7 linked regions of the Bombyx mori genome follow. The protein of the gene in region 6 interacts with the protein of the main gene of each other region in a pairwise test. Links are inferred from orthologs where the notes say so. Each region holds a gene or a part of one and is shown on either strand. Other genes may lie near its edges. The genes, in order: insulin gene enhancer protein ISL-1, mothers against decapentaplegic homolog 3, protein hairy, zinc finger protein Noc, catenin delta-2, Ubx and nuclear cap-binding protein subunit 1.

Region 1 (3,500 bases), on a different chromosome or scaffold from region 6:
CTATGTAAATTCGAAAGTCGGTCAAATAAATAACTGGTACAAAAAAAAATAGCATAACAATAATTTTCAACTATTTTCATTGCCCGTAATATATTTTTCAAGCGTAAAAGAGACGTAACGAGTGAAAGAGGCCACCGTATTTCCGTGAGCACCAGACTGGGCGGGACCTCGACCACGCCTACAGACGATATCGATTGAGCCCGATCCGACAACATTAATTTATTCATAATTCATGTTTCGTGATGTGACTCAGCACGTTTCGCGACGGCTGTATCACTGAAGTTCTCGTAAATGATTTTTGAAAAAAAAAAAACAAAAAGATACTTATGTTTATATTAACGGTTCTGCAAGATTGATTGCTTCTCACCTGGACCAATCTAATTTAGCTCCAGCAAAAATTAGCATTATCCACTTGCCTATATCTGCCGTGAAACCTTTTTGTCAAATGTCCAATGACTAGATAATAGAAGTCGTCGTGGCCTAACGGATAAGACGTCCGGTGCATTCGTGTTGAGCGATGCAACGGTGTTCGAATCCCAGGCGAGTACCAATTTTTCTAATGAAATACGTACGTTATTACTGGTGGTAGGACCTCTTGTGAGTCCGCACGGGTAGGTACCACCACCCTGCCTATTTCTGCCGTGAAGCAGTAATGCGTTTCGGTTTGAAGGGTGGGGCAGCCGTTGTAACTATAATTGAGACCTTAGAACTTATATCTCAAGGTGGGTGGCGCATTTACGTTATGGATGTCTATGGGCTACAGTAACCACTTACACCAGGAGGGCTGTGAGCTCGTCCACCATCTAAGCAATAAAAAAAAGCTACTGTGATGATACCTCATGTTTTAAAATCACATTTTTTAAATGGTCAAATGTCACACAATCACCAGTCAAATGGGCTGAGCTAGGATAACATGTACCTTCCAACAAGTACTACGGATGAATTTAGGAAGGAAATATTCAGTAATAGGTCGCAGCCCCTAATAAATCTATGTAAATAAAACTGAATGTTTTTCTCTCCTATATGTTTCTAAGCCATTAGATTGTTATAAAGATTAGTTGGCGATTGTTTGGCAGTCTCTGTTATAGTATATTTAATGTACGACAGGTGGCGTGTGTGTAGTTTCAGCAAACATGGCTGAGCTTTACCAGTTTAAAATCAAAAAGCCCTCAACGCTACGGCCTCAAGTTTTGTAATGTTAGCCACTCCCTTCCCACCCTTCCTTCCCTTCCCACGTCACCCGGGTAGTGGAAGCTCGCTACACCTCAATGTAATTCAATGAAACTTGAAGAGCACTTCTAATTTTGCGTAATAACCAATGTTGGTATATTTTAAACTCGTAAGGGTATGATCGTGCTGCCTATGACTGCCGAAAACTTACCCATATATGAGGCCATCAGCGCAAAAGTGGCCTAGCCCACAATATTTTTTTATATTCAAGCTTATATTATGACGTATATTCGAATTTATTTAAAATATCAAAATTTTTTATACAAATCCGACTTATCCATAGTTTCACCCATAGATAGCAGATAGCTTTGTAAACATTATTTTTGGGCGTATTGTTTTTTTGCTTACTCAAATTCAAATTCATGAAAATTCAAACCTAATTGCCTCCATACTAACTATGGTAAGCTTAGGTCACTTTTGCGCTGACGATCTCATATATGTTTATAGTTATATTATATATAATATATGTGTAATATAATGATATGGAATACTTTAGAATTATTAAACAATAAAAGGCTTAATTGGGTTGTCTGTGATATAATAAGAAAACAACATTTAAAGCCCTTAATCACTTTTAAAAATAATGTAAAACATTAAACAGTATTATTAAACTATAGAAAACTAAATTTTGTTTTCACTGAATGACAGACAGATGAGTGATTCCGTCTATGAAAAATCTTTTTTAAAACTAAAGAGTTTTAAAGGTTTTAAACGATAAAGGTTTTTCTTTACATATGTAAATAATTCTGGTTTTAAAGACGGAAATAGAACTCCGACTTCATGTCTCATAGTTTTGATATTTAGCTTCTGATATCTTTAGCTCGTAGCTGACACGTCATTTCGGATCCTCCCGATATCCACTAACGGTGCTTTTAGGTACCTCAAGCACCGGTTACCGTCCTCGCCGAACCTGTCGCTAACGACGAAGGGCTCGACGAGTAAATTAACCCATAGAGCCACTGAGTTTCTCGCCGGATCTTTTCAGTGGGTCGCGTTTCCGATCCGGTGGTAGATTCTACGAAACACTGCTTTTATTAGGGTTAGTGTTAGCAACGTCGTCAGGTTTGAGCCCCATGAGCTCTCTTACATGTTAAGGTTACGGAGAAATGGTCTCTCAAGACCATCATCAGCTTAGGTAGAAAAAAATATATAAATAATATTTAGCTCGTCCACTCATCGCATGTGTTACCTTCTCTATCTAGATTTAGATAGATCGTTCCTCTCCCTCTACACGGGAACTGGCTTTGTCTTCTACTTCCCATGAAGAATCATACCACTTTACTTGGATTGAAGGTCACGCAAACCACTAATCGAGGTTTTCGTCTACAGAAAAGCTCCGGCTCTCGTTGTGCGTCGGCTGCGGAGGTCAGATCCACGACCAGTACATCCTCCGGGTGGCCCCTGACTTGGAGTGGCACGCGGCCTGCCTAAAGTGTCAGGAATGCCGGCAGTTCCTCGACGAATCCTGCACGTGCTTCGTTAGAGACGGAAAGACTTATTGCAAAAGAGATTATACTAGGTAAGTGACTTATTAAGCTGTTAGGTCAATTTCCGTCAGAATACAGAATACCAATTGCGATTTATCACCGGATTAATCACGTTCGACAAAAAGCTTTGATTAATAAAAATACTAGATATATTACCTAGTTACTACATAGTTGTCTACTCTTAGCCGCTAACTCTGAAAGGAGTCTGTACACTATCGCCAAAGTTAAAATTAAATTTTATATTAATATACTACTACATGACAATAACATTATTATGATATTATGATTATTTTAAATTATGTATAGTATTGTAAATGTAAATGCTTAGGATAAACCAACCCTTCTTACACTAGCAATGATCGACAATTTTTTCAGTAGTAGGTATTTTGATAGTTCCTACATTCAAATACGTGGTCCGACAATGAAACAGACTTCTTAAGCCTCGGAAAATTGAACCCTGTTTATATTTTAGAAAGAATAATGAAAGTTTAAATTACAAAATACTTACGATGATCTACAACGAACAAACAGTTTTATCACCTAAACTATTCTAGCTTCACTTAATTTTTATTACTCTAGATTTTAATGGAGGTACGCACTTAAACATTCCAAAAATAACTCTTACAATGTCTATAAAACATTAACTAATAAACGATCGAAATCTATTTAAGTAGATCGTGTTTAAAACAAAATTACTAATAGAACTATTTTAGAACTTACAAGCTAAAACATTCATTGCACGAAACGAAATAAAAAAAAAATCATAACCGAATGTCAATCAAA
Region 2 (4,081 bases), on a different chromosome or scaffold from region 6:
ACCGTACCGATACCAACATAATACTTCTGCCGCAATTTAAAAGGTAGGAGGAGGTATTTCTGCAATAAATTGAGGCTCGACCTCATATCTCTACGAGCTACAGTGAACAATTAACATCAGCGGGCTCGTGATCTCGTCTACTCATTCAGTACAAATTAATATATCACGGATTCTTTATACTCATTATTCTTGAAAATGTTTAACGTGTCAACAACAGATCACGTCATTATATTTTTTTTAGCTGAAAATACTGACCGGTACAATGCGCGCTACTGATACATTCGCACTATTAGGAGATACGTGACAGCACGTACCGCAAAAATATCCAATTTCCATAGCACATTCGAATTTAGACTGCTGTTACGTCCATTTTAACATTTTTGCTGGGATTGGCGACGTCTATGCTTAAATCGTTTGCTATTCCACCAGTAAAGGCCAATTAAATTAAATTTCAATATATTTATTTATGTTAGGCGGTGTATCTACATGCAATCCTTAAGCACCATTATAACTAGTAAATTTAAAAAGTTTTGCGTTTTCGAGGTCATTGAACTCTTACATTTGAAGCAGTCATGGCCACGAGTGCGAAACGTTGCAAATGATAATTTATTTATACAAAGTACGCTTTTCTCTGTGCTATGTAAAATTTTGATCATAGAACTATATCTTACATACTAAAGAATGTATAGATTGTTAGTTGTAATTTTGAATAAAACACACAATCCCGCCTACAAATAATGAAAGTCAATAAATAGGTTAATAATGAATCATTATTATTGTTTGTCAAAATAATTGGTAATTTAACTATTTGAAATTTATGACTGTTTCCGATACTTTCCTTAACTACAAATAAATGGCTGACTATAAAAGAATTAAAATTTTGCAACAGCCAGTGTCAATGGCAAGGAAAACAGTCGAGAAATTTATTTCCGTAATGTAGATCAAAACCAAAAATATAATATGAGTTAACTACAAATGAGTTTACTGAAAAAGGAAAAAAAAACTAACCAGTTTTATTTATTTCTTCAATATAAAACGTTTCTTCGCGAATAACTGGCACAATGACAACGAAAAACAATTGAAATTTAAAACTTCCTCCATTTTTTTGAAATCTACGACATTTCAAGAATTCAACAGATAATATTAGAAATTCTCATTATGCAGTAAAGCATTCACTCTTTAGACGATTCTTAAATCGATTCAGCAAGCAAAAGGTTTTTGAACTTGTAAATTGACAGAAAAATTTGTCAATACATCTATGACTGCCTTTCATGTGTCAATGTCAAAAATCGTCAAAATGGCCGATTGCATCTAAATATGGAACCTATATAATAACATTGTGCGACAATAAAGATATTTTTTGTCGAATACTACTTTTCTGAACTTAATGACATAGCTAACAAAGTGTACGGTATGTTCCCGTTAACTCCGCCGGTCGTGAAGCGATTGTTGGGCTGGAAAAAAGGACCCGAGGGATCGTCGGCCGCAGAAGATAAATGGTCCGAGAAGGCCGTAAAGAGTTTGGTAAAAAAATTAAAGAAAAGCGGGGCTTTAGAAGAGTTAGAAAGGGCAATCTCGAGTCAGAACAGTCATACGAAATGCGTTACGATACCCAGGTGAGTCGTAGTAAATTCTGTTTATTGTACAATTGTTCTAGTACGATGACATTTCCGGCCAAATGTCTTGGGAGTCTTGAACATTGAGATTTTTAACTTCCTGAAATAAGATCTAGTCTCCTTTGTTTGAACTGCTCGCAACTTTGATGCCGATAAACGCAGTAATTTAAATTTAAAGGTGAGGAAGTAGTCTAGTTTTAAGAAATTTATATAATGCAAAATTGCAAAAATTCTCAAAAATCTAACTTGAAACAAATTTATTCGCAAGCTAAAAATCAGCTGATTTTTTCCGGCATTGAAATTCACGTTCGGAAATTCGAAGTTGAATATATTCGTCGTATAATCCGACCAAATCCGATTATAATTATTAAAAGCATGTTTCGCGAAAATGGCGTCATCTCGCTTTTAGTAGGATAACAAAGTACAGGACGCAAAATCGAAAAGGTCAAGACACCGTCAAAACAATCGAATCTTTTGTCAATATGGCTGCCGTATTTTGATGTAGCGAATTTTTCATTTCCTGTCCTTTAAAAAAAATACAAAGGCATTAATCGTTCTATTGTTTGTCATAAGAAACCGGACGTGTTTCGCAAAATTTCGCGAGTGATTTTGAGTAACAAAGTGAAGTGGTTATACGAAAAAAATTGTCATAATTAAACAAGGTAAGAGTTCTTGTTGTTCGTTAATTTATGCAAAAAATACGGCTTTCGGCAATAAATACGTATCATACACCAGTTTTTCATTTAATTTGAATTAGAATAGGAATCTACTCGTCATTGTTACAATTTAACTACATTGTAAAAATTGAAAAGCAAAAAAAGCCATTGACTATCACATGTATTTGACTTGAGATGTCATTGCACTGGAATTTCGCAGTGTATATTGGTTTCCAAGACCAAGAAGTTAGAATTAGAAATTAAAGTCTTTAGAAGTATTTTTTTTGGAAATAATAATATGCAAAGTGGCACCTATTTCCTAAACAATCAAGGAAATTGATTACAAGATAATAAAATACATATTCATAAGTCATTGTTATCCAATGCCATTTAAACAATAAATACACCACTGTGAATTAATTGCCTAACTAACTTATTGGATTTAATTATTTCAATAGGTTATTGGGCTCATGGTCTATCTTTTTTTACTGTCAACAATTATGAGTAATCGTGCGTATAGCTCTAAGCTACCATTGGAAACTGAACAAAAAAATTCCATGTTAATGATTCCGCAGCACAGTAATAAAAATGTAGCATTTATAATTTGTTCATGTCTGTCTGTATCCCCCAAATGTTTGCGAATCTCCTATGTAAGTAATTACTATTTTGTGGTTTCTCTATGCAAAATTCCCTCACTGCTGAGGATTGTGACCAAATGTGACTTTCCTCCTCTTCCTTGGTCATGGGTGGCATGGACCACATGGTATAGACTACCACTAGCCAATTTATTAACAAGATCTGAACATCTAGCTGGTGTTCTGCCCACAGGGCGCTTTCCTTTTATGTATAATTATGAGCTTCTCTAATTCATGTCAGGGAACATTCTTACTGAAAGTCAAAATAAACTCTAGCTGGTTTACTGGTTACAAGAAGAACCACAGTCCTGAAAAGAACTGCCGCAACAAATTAGCAAGCATGTTATGACCATTATTCTAAAACTAATATGATTCCAATTTCAACATATTGTTTGATAATGTTTATGTAAGTCAGTTGTGCCATATGCTCTCGCTTGCTTGGAAGCAAGTATTTCATAAATTGGATATTTGTACTACACTGTTTGGACTGTTTTTGGAAAGCCACCAAGTGGATGGTAATCAAATTTTCCTTTCTACGGTACTTGAAAAGAAAATGTTGTTTGTTTGTTTGTAAGCTGTGCATTCATATGTCTGTTTTTTTATGTATTAAATCATGCACATTAACATACATTAAAGGACTTAATGATGAAGTTGTGTACCGTTTAATGGCGTCTAACAGAAATATATATATAACTAGCCGTACTCGCCGGCTTCGCTGGGCATTTAAAATTGAGAGAAAGAAAGGGAGAGTATTCTTTCTTGTACAGCAAAAAACAAATAAACACTGCGATACATTAAATACAAAAAAGTACAATTGGCGGTCTTATTGCTAAGAGCGATCTCTTCCAGACAACCATTAGGTGGACAAGATTCATTTGGAAACGAATTACGATTGACATTAGGGAGTCCAACACTCAAATAAATATTATCCTATCCATCAAGTACAGGTATTTTCTACATATACGAAGTTTCAAGTCAATTGGATGCACGGTTCAGTAATTATAACGGAACATCCCTAAAAGCCACTGTAGATTTATATATTAGTATAGATTATAGATAGATGCAATGGCTGATTAATAAATAGGAAAAGATTTACTCTACAATACATGTCTATTAAATTAGCATATAAATACAATAAATATAAATTTAAATATAAATATACATCCTTGCCTTA
Region 3 (3,227 bases), on a different chromosome or scaffold from region 6:
CCTATCACGCGGCAAACGCCTGGGTCCCCGCACAAAGCGGGTGGAGCCCGAAACTCTTAAGGGCCGGGTCACGGATGGGACCCTAGTCCTAACCCCCTGCTCGGCGGCAGCGGGTTTCTGCGAAGTGAAGAGAGCTTTGCCTCACTCGTCCCGTCGCCTCCTTCCGCGACATGGTACACTCGCAGAAGTCGCGCATAGACCTCCAGGGCTCGTCGCCGCCAAGCATCAATGCCACGATGCCAGGCAGCTACAAGTCCGGTCCTAACTTTGCGACCAGGACACGACGCTGCACCTCCCAAGCGGGGCAGATAGCTTGCGTATGCTCCACTGTGTGCAGGTCGTATCCACAATGGTGGCACCTCGTCGTCGGCTCAGCTCCTATCCATCCATCCAGGGTTAGGCTAATCTTAATCTAACAAGACGCTATTTTAATAATTCATTGATTATTTATCTACGTGTAGAATCCTCGACTGGCTTCTAAAATAAATAAAACTACAACCTTGATCATTTAGATATTGTTTATTTTTAAAATGATGACATATCTTTTAAGAGCTATCATAACATACATTATGATTACTTTATTTACATTTAAATAATATCACTTCGTAAATTTAAAATGTATGATAAATTAAATGTTAGACGGCATTCTCTCTTATAAAATAAACTAATATTATACCTTAAATAAATTTGTGACTTTACAATACTATGAGAATTAATGCCATTAGGATTAATTGTTTCTCTCGACATAAGTAGGGCAATTTGATGAAGATTCAATTTCTCGATTACAATTAGTTAAAATTTATGAAAACTATATGTAATTTAACTGCCATAAACTCTTAATACATACATAATCTTCATCAAAATTCGGTTTAAATTCAAAATAGTTTATAATATTTTCGATTTGAGATTGCACATCATACATGTCTTTCCTATCACGGTTGACCTACTACTAAATTTGCAAATGTTAAATATATCTTTACGTGGTAAATTAAACTATAATAATATAATTTTTTCAACAATTCACTGTCCGTTAACGGTAACTATGAAATAAAGGAAGACACGTGTCTTAGTATTGGCGGTAACGAAGCTTAATTATGATGGTTAAAATTGAGCATTAAAAAAAGCTATCTAAAAATCAAGGTGAGTTTACATCTATAATATATTAATGGAACTAATCCACAGTGTTTTAAAATTTTCGTAATTAGTCATTCAATTAAATTACTTACAAATAATTTTCCAAATTGAGAATATAACGAATACGCGACTTTTTTTGTGAAATATTTATGTATGAAGAGAAGAGAAGATAGAGTATATTTTCTAAATCGCATTTAAATGAATCAAGTTTACGAACAACAAGCGAATTAAATAAATGATCTGTATTATTTTACGTCTTATTTAATTAATAACAACGTTATTTTGATAAAAAGTTTACTGCCTATGTTAAGTCTACATTTACACGTACAGCTAGTGTATAACTTAACCTATTCATGGAAGACTAAGTGATTTTGCTGTTTAAGGCACTTGAAATTAATTCTCATCATGCCTGCTTTGAATTCATTATCTCGACAGTTAAAAACGGCTTCAATCTTTTTAACGAACTGCCATTTATTCCGTGTTGGTCGTCTTGAAAGGTGCTCCAGGCGACATCGTTTTAACAACCAGCGTAAATGAGCCTTAATGGTCACAGATAAAACATAAAAGGGACTATCGCTACGCTATAAATATTTACAAACGATTTTATGGCACTATCTTCTAGATTTACGAAGTTATAGATCCTTAAAGGACAACAAGTCCATTAGTAAAATACTGCCACAGATGTCATCAACAAATATACATCTTATAAAACTAGTGATATGAAATTCACTATGGACGTTTAAATCTTTTATGTAACTTGATATTCATAATGTATTTGTAATTATTTTTCAGCATTGAAATTGCTATTCCTCATTGTAATTGTTTACAATTCGCGTCGATTTAATCATCCATATGAACATGCTCTTTGTTAAAATAAAATAAAATTTATCGAAAGCTACCTACACACTACATTTTACATATCTACATTATTTACGAAGTGCAACGGAAATGTAAAAGTGATTTATTTCAATCCTTAACATAGACGTCTCACGAAGGAAAATAAAATATGACACTTAGAATTTTCTTTTAAATACAAAATTTCAATTATCTCTAAACACTAATTATCACACAAACTGACCGCACAGACTCATAATAATGCCAATTGTGGGCACATAGGAACTTCAACTCCATCAACTTGACAGAAAACTTACGTACAATATCACAGAAAGAAACTTGGAACGATAGGGGTGTCACCACGGCCTCCAGGGTTTTTCTTCTGGCTGCTTTCTCGTGACTAATGCTAAAGGTGCTGCATCCTCCGAGGAAGGAGGGGGTGTTCCCCAACCAGAACTCTCGGGCGAGTAGCATCTCTGTTCTGATGTTGAAGACGATGCATCTCTTGGTGACAGCGGCACTAAGTTGGGTAGCCCCCCTATAGCGCTAGTCGTCACACCCGCGGGCAACACTAAAGCTATATCGCCGTTAGAGAGACGTGTTGGCAGCAAACGCACACCGGAACCGGGACCCGCTGCCGGGAAAATATTAACTGTTAATAACTAGAATTATGATTTGCATACAATGTGTACAGAGAGACACTTAGTTTATTGTGACGTAGCGGTTTGTTTTATTATTCAATGATACAAAGACATTAAGGAAGGACCGCAATATCTATTAGCAAGTGTAATTAAAACTACTTTGGCTAAAACTACTTTTAAATGGCAAAAAATGGTGGTAATACCCTCTTGTGAGTCCGCGCGGGTAGGTACCACCACCCTGCCTATTTCTGCCGTGAAGCAGTAATGCTTTTCGGTTTGAAGGGTGGGGCAGCCGTTGTAAACTATACTTGAGACCTTAGAACTTATATCTCATGGTGAGTGGCGCATTTACGTTGTAGATGTCTATGGGCTCCAGTAACCATTTAACACAAGGTAGGCTGTGAGCTCGTCCACCCAACTAAGCAATAATAATAATAAAAAAGTCAAAACGTCAAAAATGTATGACAGAAAAAAATGTGAGATTAAAACCGTAAAAATTGTTTTAATTACGTCTACGACTCGCGGAATCTGAAATTATTATGTACCATTACTGGGTGCATGAAAAGCTTTGAACTTGGATACGTTTAACTACTATTTTAAAGTGAAGGTGTAAAATTT
Region 4 (3,946 bases), on a different chromosome or scaffold from region 6:
CGGAAGCGGTGCTAAATAATCTGGTTGTAAGTACTGGTTGGGATTTGTAGCCATCATTCCACCGTCTTCAAGCACCACCATTTGGAGATAACTTTTACTATCACTTTTGAACTTCACGATACAATCACGTAAGGGAGTTTAATTTAGTGTACACTTTGCAAACGGAGCGCAGACTGAGCAAGTAAGACACATGTGCACGCGGCGACGTTCGAAGCGACTGTGAGCGACTGGACCCCACCAAAGCTCGACTCGCCTCCGTACCCCGCGCCCTCGTCGCGACAGATAGAGACAGCAATACGCCGAACCTCCGCCAGACAGAGAGCGCTATGTCTCACCGCTGCAGCGCGCGATCGTAAAAAATAAAGCGGAAACGACACATAGCTGCATTGCGGTAGGGGAAAAAGGAAAGGCGGTATGTTCAGCAGTCGGGTGCGGATTGAGACGTGCGATGGCGTTGGTGGCTCGCCACCCATGACGGGCAGCGCTTTGAGTCGCCGCTGCGAGCGTGACTGCCGCTCTACCTGGCCGAGAGTCGCGTACCACGCTGCTTTTTGTTACGTGGCACTTTTATTACGTCCCCGACGACTCGCAGCGTCTCTCTTTGAGCTCCGTAGCACTTTGCTGACACGTTCGATACTACTTACGTTTTTACGAGCTTTCTTTGTTCCGAGATGCACCCGGCGTCGGTTCAAAGGGGCCAAATTGATCCGTTCCCGGGAAAACGTGTTTCCGTGAAACCGTTTGATGTGTCAACAAGTCCGTTAGACGTTTACGTTGAAACTCGTTAAGCTATCGATAAACATTTGTTTGACGATATTTCACTTTATCGACAGCGTTAAGTCCATAACGTTAATGTTAATCCGACACTAAAACCTGTCAAACACGGGTTCGGTCCGTCGGACCCTCCGTAGCGATCAAATTAAATATGTCAATTTGGGAACCCATATCAACAGCTGCGAGCGACGGCGGCGGGGCCCTTTAGAAATATTGCTTATTGTGTCCAAACAAAGATACTAAGTATAACGTATGGGCGGACGACAGAGGTTGTAAATAACCCGGCGGGTTGTAATATATTTGACAGTGCGCGGACACACGAAACAAAAAACATGTTTATTGCGAGATGGGGTCTGGTTCGGCCCCGGCGGCGGCCCGGCTCTCTTCTATAAATTAGCTCCGCGAGCATTTTAGTGTTTGTTTAAGGCTACGGAGGCGCCGATGGCCCTCGCCCGTACTGAATAACGTGTTTCGTGCTATTGGAATATAAAACAACGTATTACGTTACGATTCGTCTCAAAATTACAAAAGCTTTAACTGAAACATGCGATTTTAAAAACAAATCTCTTGTCTTGATAAATTCTGTTGATGCTCGCTGAGCCGTAATTGCAAACTCAATCGCGATAACACGGTTCATTAAATCGTATTGTATGTTTTCAAGGAGAATTTAACGCGTCGTCAATTTTAACAGACTTCTACACGATTTTCTAATTCTCTCATAGGGCCTAACTAATTTACAAATAAACTGTGGACCTTATTGTAGATTGTATCCGAAAATATTGAAGCTTTAATTCTGTCCTGCTGATTCATTTTTTGTTTGATAAATCGAGCATCACTCATGTTTTGTGCTGGCATAGATTCTTAGCAACTTAACCTACCTTAAGCAACTACTACTACTCTTGACCGCAAATAGAGAAGTAGTTATTTAAATCAGTATAGAACAAAATGAATCTTCACTAACTTACCACTTTTACAAATGAGATTTCGACCTCATTACTCAAGGTGGGTGGCGGCATTTAAGTTGAGTTTGTCAATGGGCTATGTTAACCACTTATTGGCAGGAGGGCCGTTAGCTCGTTCACCCAAAAATGCACAAAATTTGAAAAGATGCCTTTAAATTTGACTTCAGCAAGAGAAAAAGCCTTATTACGATATATCATGTTAATGGTGATCCTGGATGATAATGGAGCTAGCTTTGGCCGTGTGGCTTATGTAGTCCGGGATCTATTCCCAGTAGTTGTGCCAGTCTCAGTTTCATAAACCAGGACCTAACACTAGTTTGGACCCGTCGTAAGTTTAGCTTCCAAAAGGTATAAACCTTTTAAAATTTAGGAAGCGAAGCCTATTTCTCTGTTCGCAGATAAGCCATGCAAGGACCCCTCAGGTTCGCTAAGATAACGCGTTATTGTTTGAAGCGGATGCGGCGAGATCAAAGCGCTCGCACAAAGCGTTGCCGCCGATACCAAATTACTGTTTACAAACGCTGTAAAAAGCTTGACGGGGCCCATGCCTTGCTTTGATCTGCTCTGTTACGGTTACGTTAATGACTCATCGATAGTTTGAAGGGTAGAATAGTTGGGCTTAGATAGACTTGGCGCCTTCGAAGGGATTCATAATTCGTATATTTTAGATTCAGTAAACGGATTTCCAGTCATAGCTTGTTGAAATATGACCACATATTGAATATATTTAATACTTCCAATGAGAAACAGTCAACTTTTTTTCTCCTACCTATGCTGATAGCCTTGAGAGGCTATTTCAGCTTCTCCTTGACGTGTAGGTGAGCTCACGGGGCTCAACCTGGAGTGTTGTTAACACTAGCCCTAGCAAGAGCAGTGGTTCGCAGAATCGACCACCGGATCGGAAACGCGACCCACTGAGAAGATCCGACGAGAAACTCAGTAGGCTAACAGTCAGTGTTCAGTTCAAATAGTACGACAGCCCTTATAAAATACAATTGGCATTGAATAAAAGGAATATGATTTAAATGTTTTAATACAATTGACATTGAATAAAAGGAATTTGATTTAAATGTATTTTTTTTAATAGACCAATTGAAGAAAATAATTTCAAATATGTTTTAAATATCTACTTTATTTATTATTTATTATTTATTAATTAATTGAAATAGTTATCCCTTTTTAAGGACGACATAATTAGTAGCATAAAGAAAGTTAAGCTATTACCTCAATAAAATTAATCTGCGACATTGTACTCACTCCTTTCATTTTTTCATCCATTTTTGTTAGTCATGATTATCTACGCTTTGAGTTAAAATTATAAAAGTATTTTGAGGGTATGAATAATATCATTACAAAAATGTTTTTTTAAGGGATTTTATTACCTGATAACTTAGACCTTTATTTGGGTCATGCCTTATTTTAATTTATATTCTTATTTTACTAAAAAATGATAATTTGGAGTGAAATGAAATAAAATGAACTGAAATGAAATGAAGATGATTAAGTTGAAACATTAATCAATTGGGATGAAATTAAATGAAATGAGATGATATGGGATGAAATATAATCTCAGTAAAATGGTGGTCATTTACTACGATTTTTTCAGTGAACTTTTTGGGAGGATCCCGAGAAGTTACGTCCAGCGGCTTTTTTCTCGTTTGCCCACATTTGTGCACTTTCACAGATATTAAACAGTTAATAAACCATGGTTATTACACATTTAAACCTGAAGAAACACTAAATAGACAAAATAAAACAATTCACACAACTTCACTCCTCGCGTTCCCGCCAAAAAGTCCTTACTAAAATATATATATTTTTTTAAGAGATTTTATGACCTGGTAACTAAGACCTTTAAGTTATGTCTTATTTTACTTTATATTCTTAATTTTATGAAAAATTATAATATGGAGTGAAATGAAATGAAGATGATTAATTTGAGACATTAATCAACTGGGATGAAATTTAATGAAATGAAATGATATGGGATGAAATATAATCGCAGTAAAATGGTGGTCATTTACTGAGATTTTTTCAGTGGACTTTTTGGAGGAACCCGAGAAGTTACGTCCAGCAGCTTTGTTTCATTTTCCCACATTTGTGCACTTTCACAGATATTAAACAGTTAATAAACCACCATTATTACACAATTAAACCTGAAGAAACACTAAATAGACAAAATAAAACAAATCACACAACTTCACTCCTCG
Region 5 (3,500 bases), on a different chromosome or scaffold from region 6:
GTAGGTGAGCTCACGGGGCTCAAACCTGACGACGTTGCTAGCACGAACCCTAGCAAGTCGTGCTTCGCAGAATCTACCACCGGATCGGAAACGCGACCCACTGAGAAGATTCGGCGAGAAACACAGTGGGCTGTGTCTGAGGGTTAATTTACTCGTCGAGCCCTTCGTCGCAAGCGACGGGTTCGACGAGAACGATGACCTGTGCTTGAGGTACCTAAAAGCGCCGTTAGTGGATCGGGAGGATCCGAAATAACGTGTTTGGGGCGACGTCAACTGCTTTCCATTCTTTCCGCAGGATCGGGAATGGATGACACATTGTTTTCTCCTGTACATCGGAAACACAGGTACAGAAATAAGCCGCCCGTACCTATAGGAGAGGTTCCGTAGCACGCAGACGCAGTTCTCGACGACCTTGGTGCCGATCGCGTTGACGTGCAGCGCCGTGCGCACCGCGTGCAGTAACGCCTCCGCCAGCCCCGCCAGGCAGCGCAGGCGGCGCCGCGCGTACTCGCCCGCACTCGACGCGTTGCGCAGCGCGCCCGACGCGTTGCGGAATACTAACAACACGCACTCGCTTAGGCTACGTTTTTTTTTGACGTGACAACGTCTTATAATTCGACGGAGCCGACTTTACAGACAACCGATTTTTTTTTATTGCTTAATTTGCGCAGGTTCCGTAATTGTGGCGCAACCTGGGGTAGATCTGTGTCTAGCACAGGACCTCTATGGATTAATGTTGAATGTACACATTTTTTTTTTAGTAGTTTACATTAAAAAGTTAGTTACAGTACCAAAAATCTTATTTGCATATTTACACCAATCCAGTGTATCCATATGATAAAATTTGTTTTTATATTTGCTAAATTTCATTCTAGATTTTTTTATTTATTGCTTTGATGGTTGAACAAGCTCACAGCCAGGTTTTAAGTGATTACTGGAGCCCATAGACATCCACAACGTAAATGCGCCACCCACATTGAGATATTCTAAGGTCTCAAGTTTCGTTACAACGGCTGCCCCACCCTTCACCGAAACGCATTACTGCTTCACGGCAGGAATAGGCAGGGCGGTGGTACCCACCCGCGCGGACTCACAAGAGGTCCTACCACCAGTAATAGTTCATATGATCGCGCGGTGGAAGCATTCACATGACAGAATATGTACGCGCGACAGTCTGGCGTCAACATTGGAGAATGGACGTGGAAAAGGGGCAATTTGCTTATGGATTTTATACAGAAAACTGAGACGTCGGAGAAGAAGACAAAGACGATACTGGGGGCAATCCTATTTTAAATGAAAAACTTTTCTTTTGTAACTTTATATCCCGACCTGGAGACTACACGAAGAATTTTTTGTAACTACTTTAAGATGTTAGTTGCATCTTTTGTTTTTTTTTATATGATTGCGTTGAAAGCTGTCGATACCGTTTTGTAGAACTGACAAGTACAAGAAAATTATGTGAACATTAAGCACTGTTTAGATTGATCTTGTACCGCGCGGAACTACGTACCGTCATATGAACTTAACCTTACTCTCACACATATTTGGCTAAAGTACAAAGAATGCTCTGAGGAATTTCTCTAGACGTTCCCCTCATCTCTTTTTTTTTCATCGCACCTCCCGCGGAGCAGAGTTCATCCATATTATTTTGAAACGCTACGTTCATTGACAGTGACTTTCCAAAGATCTTTTCTGCCACGTACCTTCCGGCTTTGGAATGAACTCCCTTCCACGGTGTTTTCCCGAGGGCTGAGACATGTTCTTTTTCAAACGAGGCTTGTGGAGAGTACTTAATGGTATGCAGTGGCTTGACTCTGCCAATGGCATTGCTGACGTCCATGAGCGACGGTATCCACTTACCATTAGGTTGGCCATATGCTCATCTGCTTACAAACGCAATTAATATAATACTTCAAACAGATATCGTAATTTATGCACGGATGTTGTTGAGGGTTTCGGTTGGAACCGGCTTCGGAACATTTGAGGCAAGTGACCCCTTTTCAAAAATGAACTGATACCTCAGACCTATATAGCTTATTGAAACAAACAACCTACCAATTTCAAAACTTTACGGTTGGCTAAGTTACTATGAATATAAGTAGAGAGACCTCTTTGGGAATCGTTACAAGATCCGACTGAGGCTTCGTCCTCATAACTCGAGGTACGGTAAAGGTATGTCGAGTAATCAAAAGTAACATTATAGTGTGAACGACGCTCCTTACAACTCGAGATGCCAGCGATAAATCGTTGTTATTAAAACCGGGTACTGAGTTATCCTAGTTGTATTTTTAATTGTATTGTAGGCAGCGGCTTGTCTCTGCCCCTGGCATTGCTGAAGTCCATGGGCGACGGTAACCACTCACCATCAGGTGGGCCGTATGCTCGTCTGCCTACAAGGGCAATAAAAAAAAAATATATATTCGTTATGAAAATAAATGTTATATCGATCTATAAGAGCGATGTTTTTATGAACTATGTCGCTTCCCTACGTGTGTGTGACATGAGGTTAAAATCTGAAAGGCACAGAAATGGAGCACAGCAAAATACGTGGAGAATTTTTCGAATACAAACATTTGTTTTTACACTCGCCCAAAACGGTAAATCTAAAGATTTATATTAGCTATTGTCGAACCCGTCGCGTGTGACGAAGGGCTTGGCGAGTACACTAACCCACAGACAGAGCCCACTGAGTTTCTCGCCGTATCTTCTCAGTGGGTCGCGTTTCCGATCCGGTGGTAGATTCTGCTCTTGCTAGAGTCAGTGTTAGCAACTTGGCCAGGTTTGAGCACCATGAGTTCACCTACTCTTTCGGCTGATATAGCGATATAAAAAAAAAAAAAGCACAAAACTTACCGGTAGACCAATAAGTATCTCCAGGGTTGGTGGGATGCCAGCCAGAATGCGGTATGATAACTTTGTTCACAATGACCTGAGCCGCGTCATCGATTATCGACTGCTTGAGGTCCTCGCACGATGACATATTCCATATAACACCGGTAACTAATTCCTTAACCTGTATCAAAACAAAAATTTATACATTTATTATATAAATCGGAATGTGGTTTTTATGGTTTATTTTTTTAACAACCACTCTATGTTTTTTTTTTTTTCAAAACATAATCATATAGATTATATTAGATAATACCTGAAGCAAAAACTTTGTACCCCTTTTTAAATTGCGCGGACTAAGGAATATAACATTTCCCACGCTCATAGATAATATAGAGAAAGAAGCATTATTATGCATAAAAAATACGTTAAATGAATAAAAAAAGCATTACACACACTACCATGTATTTGACATAAACACGCATATATACTCTTTTGTTTATTGTAAAAAATTTGTTAGTGTTTAAAGTCTGTGGTCAAAATGAGAATATTGTTTATCTTTAATATTATTTGTCCATAGTGTAGACTTGCCGAAATTTGTGATTATAAAATTAGTCAGACTATAGAATTAAAATTATAGTCTTTGACAATAGAACCTTAACAATGTTCAA
Region 6 (4,258 bases):
TGAAATAAGGTAAGTTTTAAAAAATCATAAAAAATTTAAGTATATTTAATTCATGAAACGTAAACCACCATTATCTATTAATTAAAATAAAAGTGTTAAACTTGTCATTTTACATATATCATTTTTAATAAATAAATAAAAAAACGTCTCAATACCCGGATCTAAAGGAAATATTTACATACGAAGGCGCAATAAAAATGCGTTCAATTCTTAAGGGTAGGGCGCACCATTCATTCGTTTGACGACTTCATTTGGTCGCGCGAAGTGAACTCGCGATAATGCGCTATTGTTTACCCTCCGATAGTGCGTTGTCCACTGCATGCGCTACACAGCGCGAGACCAAGACCGCTATACACTAATCAGCCCCGCTCGGATGATAACCGTTCCGCGCTCGACGCGCTGTCCCTTTCGCTCTCGAACGGGCGCCTTAAGCAAGAGAGCAATAGAAACATCACTCGTAAAAACAGGTAGTAGAAGAAATAATAATCATCTTTACGACTTCTCACTCTATTCAGCACCTTGTTACGATACTGAACGCTCATTGTGGCACGGTCGACGAGTGGCTGTAAAATCTTTTCTTTACTCGCCCGTTTCACTAATTGTACGTTTATGAGTTTACGACTTTTGCGGCTTAACTTTTTCGTTCTATTCATTTTTGAGGCTTTTGTTGAGGCTCTTCAAAAGTTTTGTTACGCGGTCGTCCGAAGATACATAAATTGTTAAAAGAAAACATATAGTTTATAATAGGATTTGATGTTATTGAGTTCTCTCTTAAGTCATATAAATGTCAGTTATTAACCTAGGTATTCTGAAGTAGAGCAGCTAAAGTTCTAGTTTGTTTGACGAACGTTCGCCACGTGCTCGAGTGGGTGTGATAAGGAAAGGAAAAGAGAGCGTAACTGATAATATTTATAGTGATTAGCGAAAAGGGGACGGAACAATAGTCGTTGGGCTGCGATGGTAGCAGTGAGCGCGGGGCGGCGCGCGTGTCTCAGCCGCGCTCAGTACATTGCGTGAGCCGCGTCGCGCCGGTCGCACACGACACACAGCCGCGCGCTCCCGCCACACGCGACGGAAAACTTCGCTCGCGACACAAGCCTCCGGCCCATACACCACCACGATCACTTCTGATTTCATACAGTGGAGACGCGCTCTCGGCTGACGTCCTGAGACGAGCCGGCGCCGCAGACGAAACCGCTTAAAAAGTCGTAAAACCCGCGGCACGCGCTCCCGAGTCGTAAAATAATCGTAAAAAGTAAACACACGTCAACTGGCCTTTATCGCCGACGAAGCCCATTATGACGCTTTAGTGACGTTTAAGAGGCAATAAAATTAATAAAAATAAATTACGTTGTCCGTATTTGGTGTGACATTGGCGGAGGTCGCGTTATCACGGCGCGCGGGGCCGCGATGACATAAGTGTTCCCTGAGTGACGTTAGTGCCTGTGACTGGTCACGATGAACTCTTACTTCGAGCAGGGTGGTTTTTACGGGGCCCATGGAGTGCACCAGGGCGGCGGTGGTGGAGACCAGTACCGCGGCTTCCCTCTGGGCCTCACGTATGCACAGCCACACGCTTTGCACCAGCCTCGTCCTCAGGATTCACCGTACGACGCGTCTGTCGCGGCGGCCTGCAAGCTCTATGCTGGAGAGCAGCAATATCCTAAAGCAGATTGTTCAAAGCCAGGCGGTGAGCAGCAGAATGGCTATGGTGGGAAAGAAGCCTGGGGCTCAGGTCTGGGAGCACTAGTGAGGCCGGCAGCATGCACTCCTGAAGCTCGATACAGTGAGTCGTCAAGTCCTGGTAGAGCGCTTCCGTGGGGCAACCAGTGTGCACTTCCGGGATCAGCAGCATCAGCCGCGCAGCCAGTGCACCAGCAGCCTACTAACCACACTTTCTACCCTTGGATGGCCATAGCAGGTTAGTAAGTTAAAAAAAATTATCTCGATCACAACTCTATATAAATTGAATATGCAATTTCGAAAAGGGCACACCTCTGAAAATGTAAAATGTTCAGGAAATGAAAAAAAACTGATTATTTTCTAAAGCAGTGTAAAATTTAAAATATTAACTTTTGAAATATATTTTAAGTGTTAATTAGCAATTGAAAATTACGGGAATTATTATAAAATGGGTGTAGGTAAGCCTCAAAACTACATGTATATGAAAAAACGTATTTGACAAAATATGCGACATGTGCCCTTTTCGAAATTGCATATTCGATTGAAGTGTATTATTGCGATCGTAGGTGCAGTTTTTTTTTTGATAAAATTAATTGCCGAAGTCTCTACCTATTAATATTGTATATTACATATTTGTTTACAAATATCACTGAAATTTATGATTCTATATTTAAAAATATATTGCGTTTCCCATAAAAAACTCGTCAACATTTAATATACATAAGTGGAAATGAGAGGCGTAACAAAAATATGTCACGTCCGATACCCCGTAAAAATCACTAAAATGCTGCCATCCTGTTTGGCACACATAATCGGGCCACTTCAGAATCGTCCATTAATGTTTCCTAAGAGTCCAATACTAACCGGCAGGTAGCCGACAAATCAAGTGTCAATAAAAAGCACATAAAACGAACGACCCTCGTTAACACCTTATTAGTGAGACAGATTTGAGTACCATTAATAATTTTATTGCGGACAAAACTCAGGATCCTCCAAATTACTAATTTGTAACGATAAATTGATATCAGTGATTTGATCATAAAATCTTTGGTGTAGACTTCCTGAATGTTGATGGTTCGTAGCAACGGAACTGGTATATAAATTATAGAGCTATGGAACTGGATTATTTGAAATAAAGTTCTCGTGTCTTAAAATTTTTTTTGGAACAAAACTAACAAGGTTTGTGAATTAAAATACGATTTAATCTTGGACTGGACTATACGGAGATTTAGCAGAACATATTATACCTACTTTTTTTACCGGACGACAAAACACTAAAATATTTCGAGAGAATGTAAAATAAAGAGACAAATATGTTGTCGATATTTACTTGTGTTCTCTTTTCTGACCCATAACAATTTAAATTAATTTTATAAATACATTAATAAAGCTAAGAAATAAAATAAAATAAAAGTTATTTATTATTAAAAGTTGTATATTTATTTTATTACTATCTAAAAATAAATAAAACGTTTAACAATCCTTCAATACTTAACACATACTTTAAGATGAAATTTTTCAGGTTCAAAATTGATTGTGTAGGCATAAAGTAAAGCAAAAAGCGCTATTTTAGTGGCCCAACGAGGCAGGAGAGGTGCGCCCGCGCCGCCCGCCCGGGTCAATGGCCCGGTCTAGTTTTGGGCGCATTATTATTAACTTACTGCCACTGACCATTCGACAAATGACCATCCCATTAAGAGCGCTTCAATCTTCAAACATACGTTTCGGTAAACATTCAATTCATGCACTTAAAAGATAAAATAACGCTTTAAAAATGTTTTACAAAATATCTAATACGGCATATTAGTTGGTATAGATTAGAATTTAAGTCTTATAAGAATCGATTCTCTCTCATTCGTAGTAGTTTTTCTGGAAAAGAAGTCCTATTCGAATTTCGATTGAATCGATTAGTTCACCTGGGCCGGCGACGAGTAATTAATGCTACGCGTGTGGTCCCGCCTCGTCATAATTCATGCGACTTGATAAAAATTAAGTAACAGGGCCTAAAAAATAACAAAATAAAATGAGAAGTCGAACCGTCGGCTATAATTCACTGTGGGTTCACGCAACACAGGCCGCGAAACAATACAAGGACGCTTGTTGGACGTGGCATGTATGAAAAGTTCGGGCTTGTCCATGAACGGTCCCTGCTGTTCATTTGGACAGTTTGCTAATTTGTAATACCTGTAAAGTAAACCTTTTTTGGTATAAATACCTAAAACATAGGTAATTTGGTATAAATTCCTATAAATATAGAAAGAAAAAAAAATTGTGGAGCTGTAAATGTAACTAATTTAGTGAAGCAAACGATAAATACGGTATAAGTTGAAGCTCGAAATTGCAATCACATGCTCCCGATCTTACTGCTATATAATTGAGGACTTAAATTACAGGGCCGTGGACTTCTTTTTTTTAAATTTGTTACAAGCGGTTTTTAAATGGAACAAAATAAAAACAAGAAAAATTATTTGGTGGAATAATTTTCATTTTCAATCATACGACAATTATTATGACCCTTCAAACAGCGACTTGAATCTTTCTCTTCTTACTTGGTGCACATTCGTTCTGTAGAGGC
Region 7 (2,419 bases), on a different chromosome or scaffold from region 6:
GCAGTCTTTAACGTTGTGTGTTGTTCGTCTCGCGGCGACGCTCACGCGGTCAGCGCCACGAACTGGTGGAACACGTCCAGTATGTGAGGGTCCAGGTCCTGCGTGAACAGCAGCGTCTCCAGCGTGCTGCTGTACTTCTGGACTTGCTCGTGGTGCTGGAACAGACGGAATACTTTGTGTATAGGCTACACGAATCACAAAAACTATTGTTACGCCGGTAAGAGTAACGCCATCTATCAACGAATAGCAGAAACGAATGTGGCGAACAGATGCCCGAATCTCGCTTACGACATTTTCAAGATAAGCTTGTATATATACAAGTTCCGAACAACAACATTTGGACCATCGGTCTACCGAACAAATATCATCCGCTCGGTGGAAGATCTTCCTTTCGTCGTAATCCCCCAAACGAATATCGAAGGACCTAGTAAAAATCGAGAAGTACAACGCCATCTATTGTCAGAGAGCGGAAACACATCGAAGCTACTTGACTTGTCCAGAATGTTCTCGATAATTCTAGGGATATCGTATCGAGTATAAAAACGTTGCAGAGATAGCACGAGGTCAAGTCAGTAATCGGATCTACTCGAAGCGAAACAGCGAACGGATCACCTGAAGCGAAGCGGTAGAAGCGGATTGCGAGAATTTTAAAGTGTTCTGTGAGCGTTTTAAGTTAAATACAGTTTTAATTTATAATTCGGTAGAATTTTATTTATTCCGAACCCCAACGCGTATACTATGTTATTAGTGATTAGTAGTCCTGAAGGTTTTAAAAAAAAATTAAATTGAAGAATTTTATTCGAGCCCTACGCCCTACTAGAAGGTAAGAAAGAAGAAGACGGCGGATAAAACACCTGAAGGGCGGTTGAGCAGCATGAGGGAGTTTGGAGACAGTGGTAGGAGATGACACAGGAGCACCTCGGTCAGGTACTACTGGTGGGGCGAAGGGTGTGTTGTATACTCACGATGAGGAAGACCTGCGTGAGGCGGTGCAGCGTGGCGCGGTACCAGTGCGTGTGAGGGTCCCGTGCGTCTGTATCACAGCGGACGAGATGCTCCGAGAGGATCATGATGAACCGCTGGAACACGATCAGGAAGAGCCGCTTCTGGTCCATATGTGCAGCTTCCAGGCGCTCCTCCATACGCTCGACCGCCTGGAATACAAACATTTGGTACAATGCGTTGGTTATATATACCTCTTGACTTTTTGGCGAGAACGACTCATCAGGTTTGAGCCCCGTGAGCTCACCTACTAGTTAAGGCGACGCTGATATAGCCTCTCAAGGCTATCAGCTTAGGTAGGAAAAAAAATCGGTTGTCTGTAAAGTCGGTTTACTGACGATAGTTGAACGTGACAACGTCAAGAAAATACTGATGGAATGGTTTCATTTTTCAAAAGAACATTTTAATTTTATTTGTTTGATAGATATTTTGTATGGATATAGAGAAGGAGGTAAATGGAAATCACTATTGAATTGATCAAGTTACATTTATTTGTACGCATAAATACAATTATGTAATTTTTTTTTTCAATGTACATAGTTTTTTTACAAGTATGAATGGAATGTGCTGTGAATTGTATTATTGTATAGCAGCTGTCCACGCGGATGCATCGCTCACTCAAGTAGGAGAAAGACAAATGTCGAACGCTGCCGAACGCGGAGGCCGATTGTGCCTCTTTGTCGCTCGTTGCGCGCTCTCGCTTGCACTTCAAGTCTTAAATGGAACGCCTCAGAGCGAGGTAACGCCGCATGAGTCATGTTTTTTCGTGCGTACAGCCGGCTCCATCGAATTAAAAGACGTAGTCACGTCAAAAAAAAAGGCGAGAACGCGAGTACTGAAGTTGTGTGATTTATTTTATTTTGTCTATTTAGTGTTTCTTCAGGTTTATATGAGTAATAACGGTGGTTTATTAACTGTTTAATATCTGTGAATGTGCAAAAATGTGGGAAAATGAAACAAAGCCGCTGAACGTAACTTCTCAGGATCCTTCAAAAGGTCCACTGAAAAAGTCTCAAAATGACCACCATTTTACTGAGATTATATTTCATCCCATATCATCTCATTTCACTCCTTATTTTCAATATTCATAAAAATAAGAATATAAATTAAAATAAGATATGACTTAAAGGTCTTAGTTACTAGGTCATAATATCCCAAAAAGAAAAGTTATACCTCTTCAGTAGGCTTGTCCTGGTCTTTCTTCTTCTTACTGTTCTCATCTTCAGAATCCGAACTGCTCGAGTCCGCTCTCGCTAATGCTTCGCGGGCTTCCTGGAGTTCTGCACCTGTTAAACAAATTGGATGTTGTAATTTTTTTTTTGCTTCACGGCAGAAATAGGCAGGATGGTGGTACCTACCCGTGCGGACCAGTAATTACGCAAATTATAATTTTGCGGGTATGATTTTTATTACACGA

Evidence for each region.
Region 1: the proteins of Ubx (region 6) and insulin gene enhancer protein ISL-1 interact in a protein complementation assay, tested with the Drosophila melanogaster proteins (2 studies listed by BioGRID). The link is inferred for Bombyx mori from reciprocal best matches to the Drosophila melanogaster genes Ubx and tup.
Region 2: the proteins of Ubx (region 6) and mothers against decapentaplegic homolog 3 interact in a two-hybrid assay, tested with the Drosophila melanogaster proteins (2 studies listed by BioGRID, with this or other methods). The link is inferred for Bombyx mori from reciprocal best matches to the Drosophila melanogaster genes Ubx and Smox.
Region 3: the proteins of Ubx (region 6) and protein hairy interact in binary tests that used the Drosophila melanogaster proteins (3 or more experiments, as listed by UniProt). The link is inferred for Bombyx mori from reciprocal best matches to the Drosophila melanogaster genes Ubx and hry.
Region 4: the proteins of Ubx (region 6) and zinc finger protein Noc interact in a two-hybrid assay, tested with the Drosophila melanogaster proteins (2 studies listed by BioGRID, with this or other methods). The link is inferred for Bombyx mori from reciprocal best matches to the Drosophila melanogaster genes Ubx and noc.
Region 5: the proteins of Ubx (region 6) and catenin delta-2 interact in a two-hybrid assay, tested with the Drosophila melanogaster proteins (2 studies listed by BioGRID). The link is inferred for Bombyx mori from reciprocal best matches to the Drosophila melanogaster genes Ubx and p120ctn.
Region 7: the proteins of Ubx (region 6) and nuclear cap-binding protein subunit 1 interact in binary tests that used the Drosophila melanogaster proteins (3 or more experiments, as listed by UniProt). The link is inferred for Bombyx mori from reciprocal best matches to the Drosophila melanogaster genes Ubx and Cbp80.

The regions. Positions count from the first base shown.
Region 1 is NC_085134.1:9,911,425-9,914,924, forward strand, and holds part of insulin gene enhancer protein ISL-1, read left to right. Parts: intron 1-2,559; coding exon 2,560-2,749; intron 2,750-3,500.
Region 2 is NC_085108.1:6,272,186-6,276,266, reverse strand, and holds the start of mothers against decapentaplegic homolog 3, read left to right. Parts: upstream 1-1,281; 5' UTR 1,282-1,413; coding exon 1,414-1,616; intron 1,617-4,081. Other genes in the region: zinc finger protein 62 homolog, read right to left, coding at 1-86.
Region 3 is NC_085114.1:6,571,149-6,574,375, forward strand, and holds the end of protein hairy, read right to left. Parts: intron 2,603-3,227; coding exon 2,325-2,602; 3' UTR 501-2,324; downstream 1-500. UniProt on the Drosophila melanogaster protein: Pair-rule protein that regulates embryonic segmentation and adult bristle patterning. Transcriptional repressor of genes that require a bHLH protein for their transcription (e.g. ftz).
Region 4 is NC_085115.1:2,640,785-2,644,730, reverse strand, and holds the start of zinc finger protein Noc, read right to left. Parts: upstream 2,801-3,946; 5' UTR 82-2,800; coding exon 1-81. UniProt on the Drosophila melanogaster protein: May negatively regulate Notch-induced cell proliferation in the eye-head primordium. Required for development of the supraesophageal ganglion and ocelli.
Region 5 is NC_085133.1:5,044,076-5,047,575, forward strand, and holds part of catenin delta-2, read right to left. Parts: intron 3,014-3,500; coding exon 2,854-3,013; intron 558-2,853; coding exon 368-557; intron 1-367.
Region 6 is NC_085112.1:6,103,982-6,108,239, reverse strand, and holds the start of Ubx (ultrabithorax), read left to right. Parts: upstream 1-1,458; coding exon 1,459-1,921; intron 1,922-4,258. UniProt on the Drosophila melanogaster protein: Sequence-specific transcription factor which is part of a developmental regulatory system that provides cells with specific positional identities on the anterior-posterior axis. Binds the consensus region 5'-TTAAT[GT][GA]-3'.
Region 7 is NC_085127.1:11,172,431-11,174,849, reverse strand, and holds part of nuclear cap-binding protein subunit 1, read right to left. Parts: intron 2,289-2,419; coding exon 2,176-2,288; intron 1,155-2,175; coding exon 966-1,154; intron 156-965; coding exon 42-155; 3' UTR 1-41. UniProt on the Drosophila melanogaster protein: Component of the cap-binding complex (CBC), which binds cotranscriptionally to the 5'-cap of pre-mRNAs and is involved in various processes such as pre-mRNA splicing and RNA-mediated gene silencing (RNAi).